Ovis aries: one gene and its partners. The protein of the gene in region 1 purifies or fractionates together with the protein of each later gene. This does not show direct contact. Links are inferred from orthologs where the notes say so. Each region holds a gene or a part of one and is shown in the gene's direction. Other genes may lie near its edges.

The links.
Region 2: the proteins of PPP2R2B (region 1) and IQGAP1 purify together in Homo sapiens (co-immunoprecipitation; 3 studies listed by BioGRID and IntAct, with this or other methods). This does not show direct contact. The link is inferred for Ovis aries from reciprocal best matches to the Homo sapiens genes PPP2R2B and IQGAP1.
Region 3: the proteins of PPP2R2B (region 1) and IER2 purify together in Homo sapiens (affinity purification with mass spectrometry; 3 studies listed by BioGRID and IntAct, with this or other methods). This does not show direct contact. The link is inferred for Ovis aries from reciprocal best matches to the Homo sapiens genes PPP2R2B and IER2.
Region 4: the proteins of PPP2R2B (region 1) and IER5 purify together in Homo sapiens (affinity purification with mass spectrometry; 4 studies listed by BioGRID and IntAct, with this or other methods). This does not show direct contact. The link is inferred for Ovis aries from reciprocal best matches to the Homo sapiens genes PPP2R2B and IER5.
Region 5: the proteins of PPP2R2B (region 1) and PPP2CB purify together in Homo sapiens (affinity purification with mass spectrometry; 5 studies listed by BioGRID and IntAct, with this or other methods). This does not show direct contact. The link is inferred for Ovis aries from reciprocal best matches to the Homo sapiens genes PPP2R2B and PPP2CB.
Region 6: the proteins of PPP2R2B (region 1) and PPME1 purify together in Homo sapiens (affinity purification with mass spectrometry; 3 studies listed by BioGRID and IntAct, with this or other methods). This does not show direct contact. The link is inferred for Ovis aries from reciprocal best matches to the Homo sapiens genes PPP2R2B and PPME1.
Region 7: the proteins of PPP2R2B (region 1) and PPP2R1B purify together in Homo sapiens (affinity purification with mass spectrometry; 4 studies listed by BioGRID and IntAct, with this or other methods). This does not show direct contact. The link is inferred for Ovis aries from reciprocal best matches to the Homo sapiens genes PPP2R2B and PPP2R1B.

What each region holds. Positions count from the first base shown.
Region 1 is NC_056058.1:55,515,630-55,519,271, reverse strand, and holds the end of PPP2R2B (serine/threonine-protein phosphatase 2A 55 kDa regulatory subunit B beta isoform), read left to right. Parts: intron 1-2,422; coding exon 2,423-2,702; 3' UTR 2,703-3,142; downstream 3,143-3,642. UniProt on the Homo sapiens protein: The B regulatory subunit might modulate substrate selectivity and catalytic activity, and might also direct the localization of the catalytic enzyme to a particular subcellular compartment.
Region 2 is NC_056071.1:21,521,549-21,525,838, reverse strand, and holds the start of IQGAP1 (ras GTPase-activating-like protein IQGAP1), read left to right. Parts: upstream 1-1,490; 5' UTR 1,491-1,591; coding exon 1,592-1,646; intron 1,647-3,663; coding exon 3,664-3,763; intron 3,764-4,290. UniProt on the Homo sapiens protein: Plays a crucial role in regulating the dynamics and assembly of the actin cytoskeleton.
Region 3 is NC_056058.1:10,736,966-10,740,924, reverse strand, and holds the start of IER2 (immediate early response gene 2 protein), read left to right. Parts: upstream 1-1,159; 5' UTR 1,160-1,290; coding exon 1,291-1,965; 3' UTR 1,966-3,182; intron 3,183-3,959. UniProt on the Homo sapiens protein: DNA-binding protein that seems to act as a transcription factor. Involved in the regulation of neuronal differentiation, acts upon JNK-signaling pathway activation and plays a role in neurite outgrowth in hippocampal cells.
Region 4 is NC_056065.1:61,598,587-61,602,419, forward strand, and holds IER5 (immediate early response gene 5 protein), read left to right. Parts: upstream 1-1,161; 5' UTR 1,162-1,384; coding exon 1,385-2,365; 3' UTR 2,366-3,333; downstream 3,334-3,833. UniProt on the Homo sapiens protein: Plays a role as a transcription factor. Mediates positive transcriptional regulation of several chaperone genes during the heat shock response in a HSF1-dependent manner. Mediates negative transcriptional regulation of CDC25B expression.
Region 5 is NC_056079.1:26,064,113-26,068,329, reverse strand, and holds the start of PPP2CB (serine/threonine-protein phosphatase 2A catalytic subunit beta isoform), read left to right. Parts: upstream 1-1,417; 5' UTR 1,418-1,767; coding exon 1,768-1,869; intron 1,870-4,217.
Region 6 is NC_056068.1:52,332,965-52,336,237, forward strand, and holds part of PPME1 (protein phosphatase methylesterase 1), read left to right. Parts: intron 1-109; coding exon 110-239; intron 240-1,080; coding exon 1,081-1,125; intron 1,126-1,323; exon of another isoform or gene 1,324-2,653; coding exon 2,654-2,718; exon of another isoform or gene 2,719-2,738; intron 2,739-3,273. UniProt on the Homo sapiens protein: Demethylates proteins that have been reversibly carboxymethylated. Demethylates PPP2CB (in vitro) and PPP2CA. Binding to PPP2CA displaces the manganese ion and inactivates the enzyme.
Region 7 is NC_056068.1:21,765,864-21,769,363, reverse strand, and holds part of PPP2R1B (serine/threonine-protein phosphatase 2A 65 kDa regulatory subunit A beta isoform), read left to right. Parts: intron 1-639; coding exon 640-754; intron 755-1,174; coding exon 1,175-1,245; intron 1,246-1,596; coding exon 1,597-1,731; intron 1,732-2,454; coding exon 2,455-2,628; intron 2,629-3,500. UniProt on the Homo sapiens protein: The PR65 subunit of protein phosphatase 2A serves as a scaffolding molecule to coordinate the assembly of the catalytic subunit and a variable regulatory B subunit.

The sequences.
Region 1 (3,642 bases):
AGAATCGGCCCTGAGGCCTGGCAGGGCTGCACCATGTGGCCCAGCAGGTGACCTCGGGGTCAAGTCTGGAAAGGAACAGGTGATGGGTAAGATCCTGGACTCCTCTTTCAGAACTGGATCAGGTGACCCTTTAACCTCACAAAAATCCTACCTTATACAGGCAAGACCCTCCCAGAGCTGGGTCCATGCACCTAAAATGAAGCTCCCCTGGCAAATTTTGAGGATGAACCATTCCAATGACTGTAAAGTGTACTGTCTGGATGGGAAATTATCCCTCGAACTGCCAGCAGGGACTGGCCTAAGGCCTGGTGGTCATGAACTGAATTCTCATCAGCCTCATTTATTCTGTGCCCTCAAAGGGATTTATGACTATTTGAGGCCTTTGGTTTCAACAGTACTTCCTATTACCTCCCTGCAGTTTCTTTTTGGCTTGACGAATAGATGCTGCTGTGATTTCCAGAAGCCAGCCCAGGCTACCAGGGGGGCTGTTCCTTAGTGAAGGCAGCACCAGCAGTCCTACTGAAAAGCAGGGAAATTCTATCACTGCAAAGCATTCAGAAGGGTGAGCTTCTAGTGAGCACAGGCTCTACCTCTCTGACCCCTGTTGGGTTTTTTGGGCCAGTGATCCAAAACCAGCCTTCCACTCAGCAGGCCTAGAAGGAGTCACCACATGGTAGACAACCCAGATCACACCACCCAGTTGGTGGAGGCCAGAGGGCCCAGAGCAAAGCAACTGTTACTTAGTTGAACAAAGACCCTCAGAGGAAAAGTAGCTATCCCTGCCCTGTTATTTTAATTTCCATCGGTAATTTATTCATTGTTCATTATGAATAGATTTTTTTAATATTTGTGGTTCTTTTTGTTCAAGTTCCCCTTCTATCTGAACCAAGACTCAAAACCTATACCTACTAGGTACTTTCACACATCATGATTTTTTAATCCTGACCACCATCCATCAAAATTACTTTCACTGTCCCCATTTTACAGCTGAGGAAACTGAGACTCAGCCGGATACTAGTTCAGGAGTTTGGGCAGATCACAGTAAGTAGTAGAGACAAGAGGAAGAATTTAAATCCTAAAATGAACATTCTTTCCACCACATTACAGATTCTTTCCATAACCGAGAAAATGTTATTTTTGGTCCAGATAAGATTGAGATTACTTTTTTTTTTTCCCCAAAAAAAGACTTTCTCCTACGGTTTAAAAACAAGTCGGGTGGTGGTAATGGAAGCAGAGGTCAGTGCGTGGGAAGCAATAAGGCCAAATGGCTTAATGCTTGTGCTCCAGCATCTGGCAGATGTGGGCTGGAGGCCCAACTTGGCTACTTACTGGCTGTGTGACACCATACATGCACTCACTTTTCCTCCTGTGTAAACCCCTTAACATGGAATGATGGAAAAGGAAATGAGGCTAGGGGTAAAGCACCCAGCACCCCCACGTGATGAGATGATAATTGCTCACCCTATTTCATGGCATCGGTTTCCCAGGCCAGGGTAACAAAATCTAGCCCTTGATTAATTTCCGGGACAACTAACAAATACCCAAAAACTCAGCCCCCTGGCCAGGGCTCAGTCCTGTCAGTTTTCCTTCACCTTCCTCTAGCCCAAGACAACGAGATGCAAAGTTCTCCCATCCTAACCAGCCAGTTGGTGCCTTACCCACAAATAAGGCCAAGCCCACCTCTCTGGGGGTCAGCCATAAGAGGGTGCTGCTTGAGGGACATTATGTTTCCCTTGGCCTGTCACCATTAAGTAGAGTTGGTTCATGGCTTCTGAGAGGCTCTTGGCACCCCCTGCTCTCTTTATCAATGAGAGATACTCCTGAGAATGGATAGCTCTTGTAGGAAAGTAGGCAACCATCTGTAAGTCCACTACAAAGGCTTATTTCCTCATCCTACATCCTTTTAAAATTCTAATTTTTGTTTACTCCCTCCCAAGACCAAGATGAGATCCATTTTTTAGATAAGTTTTCAGAAAAGGCAGAATTTCGATCTAGTTTATAGCGGGAAGAGGGCACGATGTCAGCATCCCTCAGTGCTGATGCCAGAAAGCCTTATCAGTCGAGCAGCACCGTCACTCCTACGACCGCCAGGCTCTAAACGAACACGATACAAGGACGGCTATTTTCAGCATTCCTATTCTCATGACTTGACTGCAGCCTCAGAATCCTGATGTGAAGGAGGTGGGCTGGGATCCTTAAAACCACTAGACTGACTTATGGAACAAAATAATCTAAAGGAATCTATTGATAAATAGCAAGGAGGGCTATCATCACCCTTCACCCAGCCCAAGAGCTTGCTTTCCTTAGTGCTTCTAAAGTCAGTGGTCACACTACAAAGCCTGCTGCGGTGTTCGGTCTCTTAGCTGTAGAAAGTCTACGTCTACGGCACTCAGTCACTCCCTGTTTCCTCTCTGCCTTGCAGCGTCATCATGACAGGCTCCTACAACAACTTTTTCAGGATGTTTGACCGCAACACCAAACGCGATGTCACCCTTGAGGCCTCGAGGGAAAACAGCAAACCCCGAGCTATCCTAAAACCACGCAAAGTGTGCGTGGGGGGCAAGCGGAGAAAAGATGAGATCAGTGTCGACAGTCTGGACTTTAGCAAAAAGATCTTGCATACAGCTTGGCATCCTTCAGAAAATATTATAGCAGTGGCGGCTACAAATAACCTATATATATTCCAGGACAAGGTTAACTAGGAGGACAAGTTATTACTTAATAATCTCACATACTGAATACTAGTCAAACACGTTTTTAAATGTTTCTTTGGGTGTTCATTTGATGCATCGACTTTAATTTCCCTCTGCAGGAGACAATTGGAATAGAAGTCCATGGAGTCCAACCTTCCCACATCCCCAGTTCTAAGAAACTTTTGTCAAACCCAGTAGGTTCTGGGACACTTCTGTTTAGAATTGAGAGCTGCCAGCTAACAGTAACTCTTCCATAGTTGACTTGAATTTCTGATGCTTTTATTGCCCCGTTTGCTCTGGTGGGTCCAGTGTTTTGTTTCTAGGTGTCTGCTGAGATAAAATGAGGTTGTCTGTAGTATTTAAAGAGAAAAGAGATAAGTTTTTTTTAATTAAGCAATTCCATTTGATTGAAAAAAAACTCAATGAAAAATAAACACTGTTTACTCTTAGAGAAATTCTCCTTGTTTTTTGACAAATCAGAACCAGTCAGCACCCCCCTGCTCCTACAGCACTTTTTTTTTTCCCATTTTCTTTTTCATGATTTCGCTTGAGCCAGAGATTTATTTCACGAGGCTGCGAAGAGGATGCAGAATGGGAAGGGGAAAGGACCACATCAACAATGCTATATTCTTTTTTCGTAAGTGCCATAGAAACAGCCTGAGAATTTGGCCAGGAAACCCCATGAATGCTTCAGGGGACATCAAGAGAACACATCGCTTCTCAGAGTTAGCTTGGCAGGGCCCTGTGGGGCCACATTCCATCTGTCGCTTTATTGCTCTTGCTTTTTGTCATTTTAAATGGCTCCATATAATCCTCTACTTACACGTTCCTTGGCTTTTTCCCTTCACCCTTTTCCAGCTTATTTATTCCCTTGACTTCTAAAGGCCAAGTCCTTGTTGTTTATGATCTGGCTCCTAAATGCAGCAGTAAGCTGATGGGCTGGGGCACC
Region 2 (4,290 bases), on another chromosome or scaffold:
GGACTAGCCTTTATACTAGATTTATCTTTTAAATCAGGCACCCAAATAGTTAATATTTTCAATAAGTCTTCAAAAAAGAGAGGTTGAGTCCTTGGGGCTGGATTTTTAAATTATATTTCATAAATCCAGATAATCTTAATCTTATAGTTATCCTATATTAGACTTTTTGTCAATTAACAGTGCCTAATTCTGCCAATGTAGGAGATGCCCGCTAGGGTCCTGGGTGGGGAAGATCCCCTGGAGGAGGAAATGGAAACTCACTCCAGTATTTTTGCCTGGAGAATTCCATGGACAGAGGAACCTGGTAGGCTACAGTCCATAGGGTCACAAAGAGTCGGACAAGACTGAGCGACTGGGCATACACAATAGGGATTATAACAGGAGCAGGGTCAGGGTTCGGCCGGTTAAAGTTTCTGCGGGATTCATAGGTTAAAATGTCCATTGAAGTGAAGTCACTCAGTCGTGTCCGCCTCTTTGTGACCCCATGGACGGTAACCTACCAGGCTCCGTGGTCCATGGGATTTTCCAGGCAAGAATACTGGAGTAGGTTGCCATTTCCTTCTCCAGGGGATCTTCCCAACCCAGGGATCGAACCTGGATCTCCTGCACTGCAGACAGACGCTTTACCGTCTGAGCCACATTACACAGCCGAAAATACTGAACTGGGGCTTCTAGGAAGTCTGATCTGAGATACAAATTTACGACTCTTCAGCAATTTAAGGTGAACGTGCATAAAGTTATTCAGAAAAAAGTGGGCAAGGGAAAAAACGGAAGAGTGCTGAGGCCAGAATTCCGTTGCATACCAATATTTTAAGGGCAGGCCACAAGTTGCAAGGAGAGGAGGCACTCCTAAAAAGGTAAAGAGTCCCCTAAAAAGAAGAACTTGCAAAAAACAGTGGCAATGAATCTAGCGGGAAGGAGATCTGGACAAACACAACTCTCCTGCTTTAGCATCCACTTCTCAGATACTAGAGGGGTTAAGCAGTTCAACTCCGGCGACAGCTGGCGAAGCTGGGAGACTTGTCTCGACTGCCAGCCTGTGCGGCCCCTTAGGGCAGTCTGGGTCCTGCATGTGTCCACAGGAACACACTGGGCCACTTCAAAGGAGGCCTTCCTTGAGCCCTTTGGTGCAGAAGAGTTTGATTAGGCGGGAAGGGGAACGGAAGATGCCCACGTTTTTTATGTCAGGCTACAGACACTGGCGGCATTTTGATAAGTGGCGCGGATCGGGCGGCGGCCGGGGAGGGCAAAGATCCAGGGCCGGGGCTGGTCTTCTCCGTCCAGAAGAGCTGCCAGCGAGAAGGGTCGGCGGGCAGGCTCCTCCTTCTTCCTTCCGCCTCCAGAGGGCTTTTTGGGTGCAGGGAGGGGGCCGGGGGCGGAGCCGGGAGGCACAGGCCCTGCCTCCTTCCGCCCTCTCCCGTCGGCGCGGCAGGGCGGGGACGCTGGGGCGGGGCCCGCGGGTGGGGCCGGCGGCGCGGGGCGGAGCCTCGGGGACCTGGGCAGCCCGCGCACTGTGCAGTAGCTGCCGCCGCCGCCGCCCGCGCCTCTAAGGTCTCTCCGCTTCCTGAGCAGAGACCCGGGCTCGGCCGCCATGTCCTCCACGGACGAGGTTGACGGACTGGGCGTGGCTCGGCCGCACTATGGCTGTGAGTGTGGGCTCCGCGGCGCAGGGGTCCCGGGGCGGGCTCGCCGTCCCCCCGGCGCCGTTTTCCCGGGGGGCTGGCCTGGCGGGTGGGACAGGGCGGCTGTGGGCCGTGCGGACCCGGAAGAGCCGATGCGACGGGGTGGCGGGTGGCGAGGCTCCCAGCCCGCGCCCCCTCGGTGTCCGAGGCGGCGGGGAGGACCCCGGCCGCCCCCACGCCTGGTCCCGGGCGCTGCGGCCGGAGGGCCCCACCCAGCGCCTCCCGCCGCCCAGCTCGACCGAGATTGGGGAGACGGCCTAGGGTGAGGTGGCAGGAGGACGGTGCAGGGCGTGTCCCGGGAACCGGAGCCCCGAGACGCGGGCTCTGCTCGGGCTTCGCGGGAAGGCGCTGCCCGAGCGCTGCCTGCGGGTACATCCAGGGTCCAGACCTGCCCGGCCCCAGGCTAGCTGAGAGGTGCGGCCCTGGGCAAGTCACTTCAGCTTTCTCGGGCTTAGTTCCCTCGACAGGATTTCAAAAGTGAAGACACAAAAAAGAAAAAAAGAAACATACCTCTGACTTCCTCATTTTCCGAATCTCATTTTCTGTCCCTGTCCTGGGACATCACTGAACTGCAGGTGGAATAGTTACCGCTGGCCAAAGGAGGGCCTTTTGGAGTCTTGAGGTTCCCGATTTTATTTGATATTCTGAGAATAGTGTTTTAGGCTAATTTCACTCGACAGTTCTGTGCCAGGTATTACGTCAAATTTGTGACATTAAAGCTGAGTAAGACCAGACCCTGCTTTCAAAGAACGTTTTAATTAGGGAGGCAGACAGGTGTAACTATCTAATGATAATAAGGAGGGATAGAGATAAAGGTGTCCTGTGAACCAACCAGGCTTAAAAGGTAATGTGGATGAAGAAGAGGGGTTTAGGGAAGGCAGTAGGAACACAGTTGGAACATTTGAACAGAGCCTTGCAGGATGCTGTGCAGTTTGACAGGGCAGGGTGGGGCAAGGCATGAGGGTGAAGCGGAAGAGAGTGAACTAAGTTATGGAAGAGAAGAGCGCTGTGTGTGTTGGCTCCTGAGTTGTGTGGAGTACACAGTAGTGTGGGGGGAAGAGTTAGCAAAAGTAGTTGCCGCTAAATTGGGAAAGGCATTGAATGCCAACCCCAATTAGGCATTTAGCACTTAGGCATTTTTTCTGTTTCCTGGATGCCCAAAAAGAAAGCAGGTTGCTTTGAAGTTAATCTTAGGGGCTTTTGAGACAGACCACCTGGGTTTGAATATAGGCTCCATCATTTATTAGCCTTGGGGCAAAGATCATGGAGCCTCAGTTTCCTCATTTGTAAAACATTTGATAATCACAGGATTGTTGTGGGGCTTCCATGGGAGAATGCATGTAAAAAGCACAGTACAATCACTGCCACTTAGGTCTCAGTGACTGCTGGCTTTAGTGATTAATAAAAAAGTGAAAAAGCACAAAGTGCTCTGGATTGAGAGTCTGGCAGATAGATTAGCGCAAATTTGGACCAAAATCTCAAGTCATATAGTACATATAGTACATGTTCATAATATTGGGGGCTTCCCAGGTTGCTCACCAGGTAGAGTCCACCTGCCAATGTAGGAGACATGGGTTCGATCCTCTGGGTCAGGAAGAGCCCCTGGAGAAGGAAATGGCAACCCATTTCAGTATTATTGCCTAGAGAATCCCATGGACAGAGGAGGCTGGTGGGCTACAGTCCCTGAGGTTGAAAGAGGGACAAGAGGGACAACTTAGCAACTGAACAACTGTAACAACTGTACAATATGTTATTGTATTTAAAAGTAAAATAATATTGTACTTTTAAATAGATACTAAGATGAGTATATAACAGTTGAAAAATGGTTCCTATCTAAGGAAAGTCATTATAGTCCACCTGGCTATCCACACGTTACCCTAACTCTCCAGGTGACCAGCAGGAATTTGATGCTGTGGCATTCTTTGATAGCTCAGGAAGGGTTACAGATTCTTGCGCTTACATTCTTTCTTTCATGTTTTAGCTGTCCTGGATAATGAGAGACTTACTGCAGAGGAGATGGATGAGAGGAGACGTCAGAATGTGGCCTACGAATACCTTTGTCATTTGGAAGAAGCAAAGAGGTAAAGATTGGCTGGAGAGAAGACTGGGAGAAAGGAGCTGATACTGTGTGAACAAAGATAAAGATCTCGTTGAGTATGTAGATGCGACTGTGGGAGGCAGGTTGTTTGAAGGAATAAGTAAGTATAGCTAGGATATTTTTTTCATAGGAGCAAGTAGCCTTGATGGTAGTTTTATCATGAAACAGTCTGATGGGCACTTTTGTTCAGTTTCTAAGTCATGTCCAGTGGGCGCTTACGTATACTGAAAATTTTCCTGGTTTGTGTTGTTCGGTTTTATGCTTATGGTGCATGTTTTGGGCACTACCAGCTATATGGGAGAAAAGCATTTTTAAGGTTTCAAGTTTGGGGCCTTAATGTTTCGCTGGTTCTTTACTAATTTTGCTTTATATGTGAATTGGGTCCGTTTTCCCCTTGGTAGTGCTCTGGGTGTAGCTCCATCCATTTGGCAATATTCAAAGACTGTTTACCAAAGGCAGTGTCATCTGCATTCTTCGTGAAGTTAATGTGCAACTGCTGTTTTCCATTTT
Region 3 (3,959 bases), about 45 Mb from region 1:
TGGCGGGAAGGTTCGCGCACCGGTGTGGAGGGGGCGGGGGAGCTTGCCCTTAAAGAGCCCGCACTACGAATGAAGGGAGCTGTTCGAACAATTTCGCGGTTTTTCAGGAACTGGAAATAATATTTCTTGCAATCTTAGTGCGTAGCAGAAGGTGGGGCTGATGTTTTCTATCTATCTGCTCTATCTCTGTTTCCAAGTCCTAATCCAACTCCGCCTCCCCGGGAGCAGAGGCGGAGCTCGGCTGCGTCGTTTAGGGGGCCACAGCCACGTGTTCACTCGTCCTGTGTTGCTGCCGGGTCCTCCGCCTTAGGGCATGGACGCCCACGGTGGATTTCGCGAGGAGGGAAACTGAGAGGGATGTTGGATGCGGAGCACAGAGACTGTAGCTTAGGCTGCGCTCTTGTCTGCAGACATCCACCTCCCGTGAAGTGGACAACTTTGCCCTAGACCCAGGCGGTGTGTCCCGCCTTCTTACCGCCTCCAAACAAGGGGAGTGAGGAGGGTGGGCGGAGGCTGGCAAGACAAGAGTGCTGGAGACTCCACTGGTCCCCTTTCACCGCAGTGGCTCAAGTATTCGTTTAGCAAATATTGGACGAGTCACTCGCCTAAAGAAGTAAGATACAACTACTCTACGAGTGGAAGAGAGAGATCAATGAGATGTTTATGATAGGAAAGCCTTTAGCGCCTGGCACTTAGCAAGTGCTTAATAATTGTTAGCACCATTGTTGATTTTTTAAAAACACGTTAATTAGGCTCCTGGTGGATGGTAGACAGTTTCCACCGGGGATCTACCGTTTGGAACTCAAGTTTTCTCAGGTGCGAAGGTGCAGCCTAGGACCCGCTGGGGTCTCCAGACACAACCGGTGGGTGGGCCCTGAGCACCACCCACGGCCCTCGCCCCCCGCCCCCCGCGGCCTGCGCGCGGGTTCAGTGAGGGGCCCGGAAAAAGCAGACCACCCCGAGAGTTCAGCTTGGACTGGGGGACGCTTCTCCTCACAGGAGTTCGGGTCCCTTTTCTCTCAGTAAATCCCACTCTGTCGCTTTAAGGAGTCTCTCGGCGAGGCGTCGCGGAAAGCCCGGATGCGGCTCTCTGATTGGGCGGGGCGTCTCGGTGACTTCACTCCTGGTACAAAAGGGCCCGGGTGGCGGGCGCCCGGGCAGAGCGTCCTGGCAGTGTCTCCGCGTGGCTTGTCCTGCTGAGAGTGGCGTGAACGAGCGCGTTGTCCGAAGTGCACCTGCCACCTGCCGTTCCCAGCCGGGAGTCCCTGCCGCCCTCGCCCTCGAGCAGCTATGGAAGTGCAGAAGGAGGCGCAACGGATCATGACCCTGTCGGTGTGGAAGATGTACCATTCACGCATGCAGCGCGGTGGCTTGCGGCTGCACCGGAGCCTGCAGCTGTCGCTGGTCATGCGCAGCGCCCGGGAGCTCTACCTCTCGGCCAAGGTGGAAGCCCAGGAACCCGAGGTGCCCTTGCCGGCTGTCCGCTCCCCTGATCCTCGCCTGCACCCTCCTCGGGAAGCGGAAGCCGCAGCCAAGGCAGCGACCGGCAACGGCGAGCAGCCCTCTCCGGAACCCATGGACACCCAGGAGGCACCGAGAGCCAAGGAGAGCCCTGCCCGCTGTGTCCAGCTCCCCGCCAAAATCAGCCGCAAGCGGCGGAGCAGCAGCCTTAGCGATGGTGCGGACGCCGCTCTGGTCCCGAGCAAGAAAGCCCGCTTAGAAGAAGAGGAGGAGGAGGAAGGGGCGTCTTCGGAGGTCCTTGATCGCCTGCAGCCCGCTCCGGCGCAAGCGGAGGGCGCCTTCCCCAACCTGGCGCGCGTCCTGCAGAGGCGCTTCTCCGGCCTCCTGAACTGCAGTCCTGTTGCCAGCCCTCCGACGGCGTCCCCGGCGTGCGAGGCGAAGCCGGCTTGCCGCCCGGCCGACAACATGCTCAACGTCCTGGTGCGGGCCGTGGTGGCCTTCTGAGGGTTCCAGGGCGGCGCTACCGGAGCCCAGAGCGCCGAACCGTCGGCCAGAGTACGCAGACCCGAGGCGAGGCCCACCCCCGGGGGAGCGCTCGCGAAAGCCGTGGAGAGGAGCAGTCGCCCGGGCTGCCCAGAGGCCCCGAGAGGGACTCTGCCCCCGGGGAGCCGTCGCTACCTGTGTGGAGCGGCGACGCCGAGGAGCCCGAGCCGGAGGCGCGGGCGCCTTCCCCCCAGACCTGCTGTTCCCATCGGTGCTGTTTTAACGGACTGGGAGGTGAACCTCACCGACTCCTGGAACTGGGAGAAGGGAGGCTTGGTTCTTGAAACTCCTCAGGGTCGGACTTTTTTTTTTAAACTGGGGGCTATGCTGCCCTTTCAATAAGGTTTTTCAATCGTCGGTGTTTGCGTTTCTAACTTCAGAGAATTCCAGGCACTCCCCTTCCCCCTCCAGTGACATACTTGTGCAAGCGGTCATCGTTGCGTCATGGGGCAGACGTGGGGAGCTTCCTGCTGCCGTGCGTGGGTGGGGGCCGGGAGGAGGACCTGGGGTGTGGACCGCCCTGGGGAATGGGAGGAGGGCGGCCTGAGTCACTGCGCCTTTCTGCGGGTTATTGCCCGAAGCCCCTACGCCTCCGGAGGTAGAGGGCTGATCTAATTTCATTTTAAAATTTTTTCTCATGTGGTGCGTTAGAGGTGGGAATATTGTTCACCGTCTCAAGCTTGACCCACAGAAACGATCAACCCGGACGTTCCTGGTCTGAATCACAAAAATGGGGGTAGCGCTGTAGGGCTGAGCTGGGATCAGTGGCGGGCGAGACTGGCCAGTTTGGGGGAGGCGGGAGATTCTCTCTCGCCAGGGCATTTTGGGTTTCTGTTTGCCTTTACTGGTGGATTCTGGTAACTCCCTCTATCTGGCCTTTTTGCTAGAATCGCCAGATAGGAAAATAAAGACCAATTGTATACAAAGTCTGTGCAGCCTGTCTGGTTTTCTTCCCTGGTGGGGGAGGGGCAGGGTTAAAGGGTCAAGAGCTGGCGGCGGCTTGCTGGGGCCCCAGAAACCGGTCTGACCGCTACCACGTGGGCAGAGTGGGCGGGAAGGGGCCGACCCCTTTTCTTTGCCAGAGCGCTTTCGTGCTGGGCGCCTGGCGCTCCGACCTTTTCTTAAACGTCGCACGTTTGGCGGGATCTTGGACACACACCCCCTCCCTACAACTCTGGGTGAGAAGGCTTTCCGAGTTCAGATGTTTGGGGGATACTGCTGGGTACAGTGACCCTAGCCGACTTGGGTATCAGGCCTCCTTTGGAGAATGGAAGGATAGCTACCCTCCCCCCACTTGATTAACTGAATCGGCAGGGTTCCCAGGATTGGGGTGGGGCTGGACTGGTGAGCTTTGGAGCGCCCTTTACGCCCAGTTCCAGTCTCGGGCAGCGTAACTGTGTGGTTCAGGCAAGGACCTGAGCTTCCAGCCTCAGTTTCCTCATACGCGGAATGGGCCCCAGCAACTTCCCTTCGAGACTGTGGGTTTAGAAATACCCGCGGGAGCACTCGTTGACTTTGGCCCCACCCCATCCCCAGGTTCGCCACCCCGAGAGAAAACCCTGACAATTTCCCCAACGCCAGTTCAGGAGAGTGACAGTCGGGGTTGCCCCAGGGGGTGGGGGCGGGGGCTGTGGGGAGGACAAAGGAGCCGCAGGTGCGGGGAGTGAAGGCGGGGGCAGGCGCCGGGAAAGCTCCCGCCCCGCCTCCAGACGGCCGGCCCCGCCACTGCGGGCTTCCTGAGACCCGGGGGACCTGACCCCGAGGTCGGAGGGGAGGAGGAGGAGGGCGAGGTGGAGGGGCGGCCCTGCCCCAGAACGCCCGCCCCTGGCTCCCCTCCAGGCTCGTTCACCCACCGCACCCCCCTTCCCTGTGTCCATCAGCCTCCTCCCTCCTAACCCCACCTCCCACCCTTCACCCCAAGGGAACCTCGCCTCCTCCGCAGCCTTCCCTCCCGG
Region 4 (3,833 bases), on another chromosome or scaffold:
TCTCTATTTGTACTTTTATGACATGTTAGTTTTTTTTTTCCCCAAGGGTGGATTGGTCAGTCCTCGTGTTGAAGAAAAATCGTTGTCAAGAATGTGAACCACCTTTCACTGTAGCTGATGTTACAACTGTATTGGTTCTAGAAACTAGAGAACAAAGTGATAAATACTAGCTTAAATAGAGAACCAAAAACTTTGTGCTGCTGCTGCTGCTGCTAAGTCGCTTCAGTCGTGTGCGACCCCATAGACGGCAGCCCATGAGGCTCCCCCGTCCCTGGGATTCTCCAGGCAAGAACACTGGAGTGGGTTGACATTTCCTTCTCCAATGCATGAAAGTGAAAGTGAAGTCGCTCAGTCGTGTCCGACTCTTAGCGACCCCATGGACTGCGGCCCACCAGGCTCCTCCGTCCATGGGATTTTCCAGGAGAGAGTGCTGGAGTGGGGTGCCATTGCCTTCTTTGTAGGTAGACACAAAAACTTTGTAGGTAGACACAAAACCTTCCTGAGTAGACAAAAACTTTGGAACTTTCAGAACCCCCGTTTTCTTTCTTCGGTGTTAAAATTGACAGGTACTAGAGTGTATGTGACTTTAGGAGGCAAGGGACTTATCCAAAATTAATATCTGCCAAATATCTTGTAGCACAAGTATGTTATCTAGGCGAATCCTGTGCCGCATTTTGCCTTCGTCTCCATTTCCGTTAGGTTGCGCGGAGCTTACAGGTGTATGTCGCCTTGGAAACGGTGGTGCGGGGTGGGAATGGGAGGAGAGCTGATCCAGGAAGGATCGAGGCTTTATTGCCGAACGAAGTCCACCACCATACTCGGATGAAAGTTCGAATGGTTTAGTTCGCTCTGGTTCCGGGAAGCAGCGCACAGGCCAGGCACCTTTAAGGACAAACAACACTGTAGCTGTCCCGTTCTCCGTATTACCGGGGCTCGCAGCACTGTCTCGGGCTAACAGCCTGCAGGCGGTCGCGCGCATCTCCCCCTTTAAGAACCTTCTCCGCGGGACTAACGTTCGAATAGCCCTGGCGCCCCTCCTCGGTCTCTGATTGGTCGCTCGAGGCGCACGAGGGCGCGCCGATGGCCCCGGAACGGTTGGCGGCCTCTCGCGATTGGCTGTCGAGAGGGCTTTATAAGGCGCCGGGCGGCCAGCTTGCCTTCAGTTAGCGACCGGACGCGAAACTGGCTGTGTTGCTGTAGTGGGGAGGGCGTGGAGGCTGGTGAGCGCGTCGTCAGAGCCGTTTCTCTTCGGGAGTCTTCACAGACCGAGGGTCCACCCCCCGTGGCGAACTTGTTGGCACTTCTTGTTCCCGTCTCAGCTTCGGAACGTGGGCTGGGGCTCACCCCCTCACCTCCGCGCCAGCCCTGGGAAGGAGGAGGTAGGATGGAGTTCAAACTGGAGGCTCACCGCATCGTCAGCATCTCCCTGGGCAAGATCTACAACTCGCGGGTCCAGCGCGGCGGCATCAAGCTGCACAAGAACCTCCTGGTCTCGCTGGTGCTCCGCAGCGCCCGCCAGGTCTACCTGAGCGACCCGTGCCCCGGCCTCTACCTGGCCGGCCACCCGGGGGCCCCAGCGCCGCCGCAGCAGCCCGAGGAGTCGGCGGCCGGGCCACCCGCAGGCTGGGGGGAGCCACCTCCGCCGGCCGGCCGTGCCGCCTGGCCGGAGCCCGAGCCTCAGCCAGAGCGCCCTGCCGTCCCAGAAGTGCCAAGGGCGGGTGACTCGGAGCCCGCGGCCACGGTGACGGCCGCCGGGGACACTCTTCAGGGCGGAGAGGCGGAGGCGCCGGAAGCTGCCTGGCGCCGCGTGGAGGGACCGCGAGAGACGGCGGTCGGAGGAGCCGGGGGTCCCGCCGAAGTCTCGGGGGTCTTCCCCGAAGGGCCCGAGGCAGCGCGCGGCCCCTGCGGCTGCCCCCCGGGGGATGAGGACAATCTGAGCGCGGCCCCTCGCGTGGACGGCTGCCGCGCGCCTCGCCCCGCTGCGGCTGAGCCCCCCGCGTCGCCCCCCGTCTGCGCCAGAAAGCGCGGCGCGGGGTGGGTGGGCGGCGGCCCCGCGGACTGCCCTGCGCCCGGCTCGACCCCGCTCAAGAAACCCCGCCGGAACTCAGAGGAGCAGCCGGGCGGGGCGGCGGCGGCCGCGGAGGAGGAGCAGGAGGAGGAGATGGAGACCGGTAACGTGGCTAACCTCATTAGCATCTTCGGTTCCAGCTTCTCGGGACTCTTACGGAAAAGCCCCGGGGGCGGCCGGGAGGAAGCGGAGGGAGAGGAGAGCGGTCCGGAAGCCGCCGAGCCCGGGCAGATCTGCTGCGATAAGCCGGTGCTGAGAGACATTAACCCTTGGAGCACTGCTATCGTGGCCTTCTGAGCCCCCGCGGTCCCAGTGCGGAGAGGAAGTTGAGCAGCGGGCGTCTCGACGTGAGGGCTGGGCCTCTCCCGGCGGCGAGGACGCCCCCGAGGCAGTCGGCGCCGGGCGCGAGGGGGTGCCGCCGGGCGGCACAGACTGCCCTTGGGCTTGGCGGCCGGCTGGGCCGAGCCTCTCGGTTCTCCTCTGGAGACTTCGGAGTGGGAGACTTATTGGAAGAGGACGGCGATCGTGGACTTTTGTGTCTGTATCTGTGTATGTCAGTTTGTCTCATTGAATTAAGGCTATTTTGTCCCTCTGGAGAGCGTCCCTTCCCCGCGGTTTAGACGATTGGGGCAGACAGGGACTTTCCTCTGCCGGCAGCGCCGAGAAGGAAGCAGCGAAAAAGGCCGGGGCCGGGGAGTTCCCCGTTCGCTCTCGGGGGAGGAAGGGACTTTACACACACCTCTTACATGAAAGCTAGAACCGCACCGAGGCCAGGAGCGGCGTTTCCTCCCAGGATTTCCTCGGACTAGAGGGATTTAGTCTGGAGTAGAGACTTGTATTATTTCTCTCCTTCCCCACTTTTCTCTGTCACTGAAGAAACGTTTATACCCTGTGATTACTCGGGGAAAGGGAGTGTTAGCGGCCCTTGTCTTCGTCACGGAGGGGAAAAAAGAGCTTGATGAACTTCACAGAAGAGTTCAAGCTTGGAAATACGGAGTTTATAGAGAAAAGATTTATTTTTTAAAAGCTCTAGATCAGAACTACTACACAGTGCTTTTAAAAAGTGTTTAAGGAAACAAAGTTTACAGACAGAAGCCCTAAGTGGAAAGGCCCTATGGTTTTGTAGATAGTAACTCCAGTCTTTGTTGTATAAAGGTTGGGGGAACTGACAAGGTTTTTGTACAGTATTTTCTCCTTCGTTGTATTGATTTTTGTATAAAAATGTAACTTTACGTGTCTAACACGTATTAAATATTTTGAAGCAACTTGACTGCCTCCTTGTGTGTAAATCGCCTGTCCAGGTTTCAAGGGAAGTGGGAGGAGAGCAACTATGGTCCGCCTGGAAAATTGAAGACGTGGTTCTTACTATCAGTTGTGCAGACTGGGGACATTGTTTGCGGGCTTCATTTATTATGGAGAGAGGCACATTTAAGCTTTCTCCCTCACATCAGAAGACTGCTGTTAGGTACTAGTATCAGTGGTCTGCCAGTTTATTGAAACCTGCCACTAAAACTCCCTTGTCTAAAGTCAATTTAGGCAATTTGATTTTTAGCCCAATCTGATAATGTCTAATATTAAATAAACTGTTTAAGTGCCAACTTCTGAGGCCCTTTCCATCCACAAAAGTGTCTTTCACTAAAACTTTTAGTTTCCTGTTATTAATAAAACCTGAGGGGAAACTGCCAAGACTGACATGGCCAGCTGGTCAGGTCTGCCTCTGCATTCCAGTGGATGTCAGGATGGAAATTTCAGTGCTTTAAAATTT
Region 5 (4,217 bases), on another chromosome or scaffold:
AGCTTTAAGAGCATTCTCTCACATTAATCTCAAACACATTTGCTTAGGAAGGACCTCCCTCCCTAAACACAATCTGTCCTTCCCATCTCTCCTCAAGGTATATTTTGATTCTCAATCCATCTTCTCCAGGAACTCCAAAAACACTATTCTTACTCTCATTTCATTCTGAGCTTGACAGGTTTAGCTGAAACTCAACCTTTCAACCTTTATAGACGAACCTCCTCGGAGACCGCAAATCTCCTGAATCACGGCAGGTATCCTGTTTGTTCAGTACTGTTTCGCCATCTTTTCACGTTCTGTCCTCAACTGCTTTGCTGCTATTTACAAGGCACTTGAGAACAGGAGCTTTCCAGCCATATTTCCCACCATATGACTGACTTCCGACGCTAGGAGTATTTATAGCTTCCCGAAAAGACCTCAGTCTTTCACACATTTGTCCTCTGCCACCGTCCAAAAAACAAATCGGTGTAATTTCTTTTCCCTTCTCCAGGCAACTTCAACGTTTTGCCCCGGGGAGAAAACCTTTCGGTAGCTGTTGCCTAGTAGGGATAGTAAGGCAAGGAACATGAGTTCCATTCTGTACTATCGGATAAGCTCTTGTAGAATTTAATCTTCACAACTTGAAAAGGCAGGCCTTACCGCACCTTTGCAACAAATGAGGACTCAGAGGCTGGGGGCAATCTGGTCATTGTCCAAGGACACAGCGAGGAGGTTGGCGATGCCAAGAGGGGGCTCTTGCCTTCTGATAAAGGATGCTGCCTGCCGCCACTTGTCTAGTAGAGGAAGTATGGTTGGTGACCACCTGCTCTCCAGGGTATCTGGCAGTTAGCAGTTGCTCGATGAACATTTGCTGAGTGAACAAATCAATAGAGCTCAGTAAACACTGCATAAATGTGGTGAAGAATGCTGGAGCTGGAAGGGACAACTGATTGATAATCACAGAGTAATCGATTCGTGTTTCTGATGCCTAAAGGGAGGATTCGAGATGTCGGTGCCCTACAGCTTGCTTAATGACAAAGCTAAGATATGGAAGAATTTACGTATGTATCTGTTTAATAGGTAATGAACGCCGGCTATGGGACAGTGCTAGACTCTGGGGAGACTATGTGGTCAAGGAGAAGCACAAGCTTCCCAGTTCTCTCTCCATAGCGCTAAAAAAGAAGAAGAAAAAAAAATTCTCAGAGAAAAGGACGTAAAGGGAAAAGCGAGGAGAGACTGGTCTGGACCCGAGTGGAGAAGTACGATACAAAAGGGAAAAGCGAGACAGCGGCGCGCCCGTCGGCCTGTTTCTCCGCCGCGCCACACGGGGCGCTGCAGGCCTTCTCGAGTCCCGGGCCCGGCGGCGCCGCCCGCTCGCCTTTTTTCCCGGCGGAAATGCCCGGGCGATGACGGAAAGCCGGAGGGAGGGGAGAGAAAGAGCGAGAGAGAAGGAGCCAGGGAGGCGAGAGCGGCTGGCGGGCGGCAGGCGGCGGGTGCCCATCCTCCGGCGGCAGCTGCGCGGAAGCCCCGCACGTCCCCGCGGCCTTCACCGACTCTCGGGGCGCGCGGGCCGGCGGGCCGGGGCGGGCGGGGGTCTCCCGGAGGCCGCGCGCTCGGAGCCGCCCGAGGGGCTTGGGCGGGGCGCGGGGTCCGCAGTGCCCGGCTCCTCCCTCCCCCGCCGGGAGCTGGGCGGCGGCGGCGGCGGCGGCGGGGGGCTAGGGGAGCGGCGCCCGGGGCGGGGGCGCGCGGGGGGCGGGAGGAGGCGGCGGCGGAGGGGCGGGGGCCGCCATGGACGACAAGGCGTTCACTAAGGACCTGGACCAGTGGGTCGAGCAGCTGAATGAGTGTAAACAGCTTAACGAGAACCAAGTCCGGACGCTGTGTGAAAAGGTGAGCGAGAAGAGGGGCGAGGTGCGGCCGGGGAGCTTCGGCTGGGTGCGGGGTGGGCGGTGCGGGGACCCCTCGTCTTTCCCCTCCCGGGCCGCCCGCCCGCCTTCATCCCGGCACCGGGTCCAGACGGAGCTGCGTCTCATGCTCGGCTTCAGCCCCTGGGCGGGGCCGGGCCTTTCCAGGACCCCTCTCGGGACACAGCCCTTGGTTAGGCCCGGACCCCCCCCCCCCCCCCGCACCGCCCCGGATCCAGACCTAAGGCGTCTGGGATGGGTGGGCGGGGGCTCCGTGACACCTGGAATTCATCACCCAAGTGTGATTGTGGGGTGACCGGCGCTCTAGTGAGGGTTGCTGACAACCCCAGCATTAACCCGGGCGGACTGGCAATCCCGAAGCTTCAGCCGCCAAGCAGATTAATCTCCTGCAGCCTCGTAATGGAAAGTGCACCGAAATGAGCCTGGGTGTTGTGAATTATCAACGCGCGTGGTAATAATAAACAGAGGCTTTTTCTCAGGTGACTCGGCCCTTCAAACATCGCTAATACTTGGTAACGCGTCAGGCATTTGTTTGTAGAGAGGTGGGTGTGATGGCAGACTGTGATTTTTTAAAATAGAAGTTGACTCTAGTTGAGACAGATGGTGGCTGGTCTTCACGTTGAGAGGCTCTTTGGAAGCAAAAATGTTTGATTTTTCAGAAACAAGACGGCAAGTCTTAAGTTTGGCAACAGTGCTTACCTGAAATGATAAGTGGGGTATGTGTTTCTCCTGAAGGGTAGCACTTTTCAGAAGGTTATTTCTGTTGCTGTTACATGTAAGGTTTTTTTTTCATTTCCAAAAAGTAATAAAATATGCAGGTGGTTTACTGTTTTCAGTCGCTCTTGATTGTGTGATCGTAGACAATCTTCTGAATTCTGTATCCATTTTTTTCTTAATCACTGGAATTATTTTGGACTTTACATTTTTTCTCATTCATCTTTTATAGCCTAGACTATTTTTATGTAAAAAGGTCTCGTGGAGGAGTAACAAAATTATTTATTCTTTAATGCTTTTGAATTGTTATTTATTTTTAAGCCATACTCCCTAAGACTTTCTTGATTTTGTTTGGAAAGCAGGATGCTTCAGAAAGGCATTGAAGGAAAGATTTTATTAATATTATTTATAGAGTACCCTTAAAATTAAATGTCTTAGGAATGGAAGAGTTAATGCTAAGTTTAAAATAGTGTTTTATTTTTTAAATTAAGTGTAACGTTGTTTTGGGTTTTTATGTACTAACAATTTTTTTTTAAAAGTATAATGTTGCATTTAAGTGTTCAACAAACTTGTTCAGCTATAAATACACAATATTCTTTTTCAGGTTCTTTTTCATTATAGGTTATTACGTGACATTGGGTATAGTTCTCTGTGCTATACAGAAGGTTCTTGTTTCTTTTACATAAAGTAGTGTGTATATGTTAATCGCAAACTGCTAATTTATCCCCTCCCCATCCCCTTTTGGTAACCCTTAGTTTGTTTTCTATGTCTGTGAGTCTACTAAATAGCTGTGTATTGATACAGGAGGATGTATTTCTGTAAATAGAACTACCAAAAAGTGGTATATTTGTGTTTCTGAGACAAATTGCTTATGGACTGCTTCAGGTTCTGGCTACATTCAATTTTCTTGTGTGATAACCTGTAATTTCACGTTTTAAGATTGATGTTTTAAATCGCTGTCTCTCTCAGGCTTGACTGTCGGGTGAAATACCCAGTTGTGAAATTAGCTGAGTCAGTTAACCTCTCTGTGACTAGTAGACATAGACTTTAAGTGGTGGGCAAAGTTGGTAGTTGAATCAGTTTTTCCCTCTGACTGTCTGATAATTTTAAGACGTCTTTCGGGAGAAGAATGTTGCACCCCTCCTCGATCACACTTGATCCTTCGTCACCTGAGCAAGCTTTCTGAATTTGTCCAGAGAGATTATTTTGACTTCAGCTCCTAAATAAGTTGAACTGCCAGTCCCTAGTTTCTTTGAGGTATATTTAAGCTTATATCTTACCTACTTTTTTCTCTGAATATTTGTACTTTTCCACCAAACACGAATTTTTAAGTGGCAGTGCTTTGTCATTTATCTTTATCCTCTGCTTTTGCCAGGGATGTGGAGGGCTGGAGCAGAGTGGCGTGCCCCCCGCAGCCCCTACCCTTCTCAGCGGTGCTTAGTGTGGAGCCCCTTGCCAGCAGCTGTGGCAAACCTTTGTGGTGTTGATTTTCTGTCATCTAACCTTACAGCTCCATTTTACTTCCCTACCTCTGCCCTCCTTTTTCCTGCTGAGTGCAGCATTTGTTTATAATGGCCAGCCTGCGTTCAGACCCTGGCT
Region 6 (3,273 bases), on another chromosome or scaffold:
CTTAATATGTGCTAATTCCTTTCCCTTTCCTTTTCCCAAAGCCCTAGTTTTTATCCTGTTCCTCCTGGGGTTGCCCTCAGAGACTCAAAACTTGCTCTTACTCCTCTAGACCAAGAAAGACCATCCATACACTTGGAGAATTGAACTGGCAAAAACAGAAAAATACTGGGATGGCTGGTTCCGAGGCTTATCCAATCTCTTTCTTAGTTGTCCTATTCCTAAATTGCTGCTCTTGGCTGGTAAGTGTGCATGTGTTATGTATTAGTCAGCCTGGGATGCCATAACAAGATACTGGGTGGCTTAAACGGTTCTGGAAGCTGTAAGTCTGAAATAAGGGCTCCAGCCTGTCAAGTTCTGCTGAGAGCTTTCTTACTGGCTTGCAAACAACCACCTTCTCACTGTGTTCTTATGTGGCAGAGCGCGCGAGAGCACCAGGCTTATCTTACGAGGGCCCTACCTTTGTGACCACATTTAACCTTCATTACTTCCTCATTTAACCTTAATTACCTTCATATCTCCAAATGTGTTCCCATTGTGAATTAGGATTTCATCATATACATTTTGGGGCGGGGGGACACAATTCAGTCTCTGGCAGTGTATGTATACTGTCATCTCAGTTATGTCTTTGTTAAAAGCGTTTACCATATGGGTAGCGACTTCCAAAGTGAAATACCATGCTTACTCATTTGTGCCCTTTCTCCTTCCTTTGACAAATCCATAACTAACTAAGCATGAGCATCCACCAGGGATGAGCTAATTCTGGCCTGGACTCTGTACCTGGTCAAACCCAAGTCCTTTTCCTTGAGTGGTATAAGGATATTCTGAGTAAAAAGGAAATTTAAAAAGTAAAGCCTGTTTTCAGAAAGCAGCTTAAACAAGCAAAGTGATTTTAGGGAACATCAGCCTCGAAAGCTTCATGTGATGAGACTATATACTCAGGAAGTTAGGATTGGCATTAACATGAATTGAGAATGTCATCCTGTTTACCACTTTGTAACAATTTTTACTTCATAACAGCAAAACCTATTTCATACAGCCTTTTCAAGTAAGCTACTTGTGGATTCTCTTATTTTATTCTAGGTGTTGATAGATTGGATAAAGATCTGACTATTGGCCAAATGCAAGGTAAGTTATGAAGAAATTACATTCCTAGGTCCCCTCAGGGCAGAGAAATGGGCAAAGTCATGTGGAAATTTTCTATCTAAAAATGGGAATTATATTACCACATAGACCTCAGAGTTGTAAGAATTAAAGTGATGCAGTGTCTTTGAAAGGGGCATTATAAAGTACTGTGTGCAGATATATTATGAAAGGAGATATTCTGAATACTAGACAGTATTTTTATTATTGTTAGAATTCTTAGGAAAAGGAAAGGTCCAAGATAACCCAAATACAAAAAGATACAAGTTCTGTTTAGAAGACAACATGATGAGGTGGTAAAAGCAAGGACTCTGCGGTTGGGAGAACTGTGTTTGAGTACTACTTCTTTCCTACTAATTTTTTTTCACCCTGGGCAGGTTACTTGACCTGCCTCAGCTTTAATTTTCTCAATTTGTAGAATGAGAAAATTGATGGCAGCCTGACAGGGATTGTGAGGTGTAATGAGTAGGAAAGTGACATGTGCTCAGGTTCAGATGTGTTGGCCAGATGACTATGGAGGCAGTGGAACCAATTTCATGGAAGCTCTTGGCTTTAGAGCAGATGAAAGGCTTAATGAAGGTGAAGTCACTAGGCATTGGCAACTTCGGGTTATATGAAAAAAGGTGCCAACTCCAGAGCCAAGGTTTCAGGCTTAAGCAGATTCTGTTCTTGACTTTCTTTCTTTTCTACTTACTCTCCCTGGGCAATCTCATGGTTCCCATTTACACCCTGATAACTTACAAAGCGATGTCTCACGGCCTTGATGACCGGGGATGGGTTCCATATTCTTTGGTCTCCTTAGAGATCTCTCTCTATCAGTCATCTCTGTCCACTCTTAATAAAATGATCACATTTGTTTGAGCTTACAGTGTTATACAGGACAGTGTGAAAAAGTGTTTAGTACTGTCTGGAACATAGTTAAGTAACTTATTATTGTAATAATAAATCTCAAAATCTTTAATTTACAAATCCCTTAATGATAAGGCCCCTGCTTACATCTCCAGCCTCATTGTTAACTCTGATGAGCACCATGCCAAAGTTTTTCTTCTTAGGAGCAAATACCATTTCATCCTCCGTTTCTTTGTGTAAGTTACTTTTTCTGTGTAGGAAGCCTTCCTGGATCCCTGTTTTATTGCAAAGACCCAATTCCTGTTTTTTTCCAGTTCTATGTGCTTAGTGTTAGCCTAGGAACTACATGCTGCATTAAAATCTGAGTTTTATATTTTGCTCTCCCACTAGACTATAGTGTAAACAGGAACTGTTTCTATGTGTCTGGCCCAAAGTAAACGCATATTAAGTAGGTGAAGAAGGAAGAAGTGAAGGGAAATGATTTGCTCAAGGTTACAATGTCAGGTATTACCATCTTCCTCACAGGCTTGTTAATTGGGTCCAGACTGTTGGGGTGGGGTGATGGGGAGGTCCTGGCCTGCTAACGTGACCTGTGAGGCTGCAAAGATGGTAAGGAGAGGGCCATTTTAGTCCTTGAGGTGGCTTTGGTTTATGTCTTCCCCAGGGAAGTTCCAGATGCAGGTCCTGCCCCAGTGTGGCCACGCAGTCCATGAGGATGCTCCAGACAAGGTGAGTCTGGTGCTGGATGCCTGTAAAAGGGCAACTGAGAGAGTAACTGTGAGTCTCATGGAAGACAGCATAAGCCTCTGAGTCAGCCTGTGGTGCTTGCAGCAGCTGCTGTGGGGCCTACACACATGCAGTCCCACCAGCCCCCCGGACCTCTCCCTGGCAGCTGCTTTTGGTCTTGCCCTTCTGTGTATGGGCTGAGGAGCTACTGGCGCCCTGCTGTTTTACCCAGGGCCCTGTGGTTAAAATGGAGAAAGGAATAGCAACCCACTCCAGTATTCTTGCTTGGAGAATCCCATGGACAGAGAGGAGCCTCCTCCATGGGGTTGTAAAGAGTTGGACATGATTGAGCGACTAACGCACTGTGGTTAAGATTGTAAGCTCTACTTCTCTATTATCCCCAAAGCCAGATGGAAGAAGAAATAACTGTGGTAGACACTGTTCCCTAAAACACACGCAGTTAGGAATTAATATGTGCTCTTCCTGTAGGAAAAAAGTGCTTTGTAACTCTACGGGGATAACTAAGCCTTCACATCATTCCTCTTGGCGTTTCTGGAG
Region 7 (3,500 bases), on another chromosome or scaffold:
TTAAGTACTAAAAGGAAGAAAACCCTCAGAAACCCACAGATTTGCTGTCATAACCAAAAGTTTCTGAATTGGAAGTGCCTGAGGCAAAAATATACATAGACCTTCCTTGACTCATGATAGGGTTATGTCCTGAGAAACCCACTTCAGTTGGAAGTGCATTTAATGGACCTAACCTGCGAACGGCATAGCTTAGCCTCGCCTACTTTAAACTTTTAAAGGACACTTACATTAGCCTACAGTTGGGCAGAATACTCTAACAGAAAACCTGTTTTATAATAAAATGTGGAATAGCTCACGTAATTTATTCAATACTGGTACTTAAAGTGAAAAACAGAGTGGTTTTAAGTGTATCGGTTGTTCCCCGTTGTGATTCCATGGTTGACGGGAAGCTCTGGCCTCCCCACTCTGCCCAGCATCACAGGGGGTAGTGCTACATAGCACTAGCCCAGCAAAGGATCAAAATTCAAAACGTGAAATTTGGTTTCTAGTCAACGTGTATTGCTTTCACAACATCCTAAAGTTGAAGAATCTTCAGTTGAACGATCATAAGTTGGGGACTGTCTATACTTGATGATTGCATTGTGCTTGTTAAGTTATTTTGATTAGAGTGCATTAAAACCTGTACAAATTCTTTTATAGCTCCAGAAAGCTGTGGGTCCCAAAATCACCCTAAATGACCTCATCCCCGCCTTTCAGAACCTACTCAAAGACTGTGAAGCTGAAGTCCGAGCAGCTGCTGCCCATAAAGTAAAAGGTTAAGGTGTCAGTTTATGTTGTAACTAGATCACTTTGGTGCATTTTTTTATGTCAGTGAATTTTGTATTTTTTTTTTTTTTGGTCTTACAGATTATGTTTTCAGAAAAATAGTGATGATTTTAATGTGTTGAGATGTTAACATTGTCACATAAAGCTACTCCCTTATTTATTTAAAACCAAATAGCTTCTGTTTAAAAAAAAAGTATCCAATCCAGATTGGATTGGTGTGGTACACAGTGGCATATAGATTGACCAAAAGGTGCATTTAAAAGCAGCCATTTTTCTTCCTTGGAACTTATTTGCTTAAACATATGATTTGATTTAACTTGAAACTTGATAAATCTGGTTAAATTTCTTCATTTGGCTCCTTGTAAATGGCTCTACATAAGCATTTTTTTTTTCTCTTTGTATATTTTAGAACTTTGTGAGAACTTGCCTATGGAAGGTAGAGAGACCATGATTATGAATCAAATTCTGCCTTATATAAAGGTAAACCTAACTTTAGTTTATTTTTTGTTACACTTTGCCCTGTGTGAAGGTAAACCTGACCTCAATTTTTGTTTGTATTACTTTAAAGCTCTTTGAATTTAAACGTGGACCAGGGATGAATGGGACAGTTATATTAATGTGTGACACTGTTATTTATTACTTATTAATATTTTGTAAGTGCAAAATGCTCTTTTTTGCATAGGTTTATTTTATCTGACAGATGGTCTGAGGAAACTATTGACTAATCAGTATTGAAAGAGCGCTATCTTTTAAAATTCCTTGAGAAGTCATTTGGAAGTTTCTGTTGTCTTGCAAAAAAACTAAAGGCTTTTAATTTTGACTTTATTCTAGGAATTAGTGTCTGATACAAATCAACATGTCAAGTCGGCTCTAGCTTCTGTAATTATGGGGTTGTCTACCATTTTGGGCAAAGAGAATACCATTGAACATCTTCTACCTCTCTTTTTAGCTCAGTTAAAGGATGAGGTGAGTCTGGCTGTAAATTTTGTTGTCCTTTGATAGTCGGTGATTTGGTTTGGTTTTTGTTTGGGGTGTCACTGAAAAAGTAACTTATTTTAAACCATTGATGGCATTTGGGCACGGAGTTACAAGTTCCTGAGAAAATGGGCCACTGATACAGACGTAAAAATGGCTGTCCATCTTCTCTGCCTAATTCCTGATTATATTCACTGTTTTTTTCTTATCTTTAAACTTAATGGATCTTTATTTGAAAAGTTTCATTTAAATTTAGATATAATATTATAAAAATTATCTTGTTTGCCAGGCATGATCATCAGTGCTTTGCATGTGTTATTATTATGTGTAATTTTCACAGCAATCTTATTTTTGAGGGTTGGTCTTACTATTATTCCCATTTTACAGACGAAGAAGGTGAGGCACAGACGTAAAATAAGCCGCCTGAAGTTTCAGCTGGGTCGATATGGGATTTGAATACATGTAATTTGATTTCATAGCTTATGTGCTCTTTACATTTCATAGACTTTTCATTGAGAGTTTTAAGTCAATTAAATTGTGCAGTTTGAATTATTTATGTACTCAGTATTAAGTATTTCTTCCAAGACAATAGTTTTTTCATGCAAGTCAACACTTTCTCATTTTAAAATGTATTTGCTCATCATGGTGGTAGGAGAATATTGATCAGAGAACTTGATCTTTATATGTGCTGTTTTGGGTCTTGTGTATTTGCAGTGTCCTGAAGTTCGTTTGAACATCATCTCCAATTTGGACTGTGTAAATGAAGTGATTGGGATCCGGCAGCTCTCCCAGTCACTCCTCCCTGCCATAGTGGAGCTGGCTGAAGATGCCAAATGGAGGGTCCGGCTGGCCATCATCGAGTATATGCCACTGTTGGCGGGCCAGCTGGTGAGTGTGGGCGCTCTTGTGAGCTGAAGGATAGCATCACGTAGTGGAGCAGACTCCCCAGGGCCAGCAGGAGGCCCACATGGCTCATGTGGTTATGTTCATTTAGAGGCATGAGAAAGTATGGTCTCTGTCAGTTGCCTGTAGAGTGGTTTTCATTTTCATCAGTGCATTTGCATCTAACAAAAATGTATTATAAAAACACATTTCACCTCCCCACCATCTGAAAGCAAAGCCACAGAAGAATATATAATTTCTTGGTATATGTCACATAGATTTTGTGATACTTAATGACTCTGTGGCTTAAGGAATATTTATCTGAGAAGAAAGGGGAGTATGGTTTTGAGATTTGACTTTTGCTCAGGGAAGCTTCCCTCTCTGCCTGTACTCTGAGCAAATGTCTCTGGTTACCACTTTTCTTGCATTCTGGTTAAAGGGAGTTGAGGACTCCCCATATGAAAAAGGAGTATTGAAGTTTGTAATGCTGATATTTTGGCCAGAGTTTGTATTATCACATTATCTGTTACTGTTTGAGATTTATGAATAGTTTTATTGAAAACAAGTTAATTAAAATTTCAGTGCTGGGTTTTATAGCCACATCCTTTCCTTTCTCTTATAGCAGGTACCCTAGTCAGTTCTGAGTTTGGTGTGATGTGCCCTCATCATGGTGGCTGCACTTTATTATTAACTGTTAAAATCTAGATGAGGAGATAGACAGCTGATCTCTTTTTGGGCAGGGCTGTGTTCAGTGTTTTATTTCCAGGGCCTCCCATAGTGCCTGGCATTAATCAGGCACTTAACATTTGTTGATTGTTGAGAGAAATGAATACTTGACTAGTTTTTGAGAAAGCTCACAATGTGTCAGTTTATAGCTA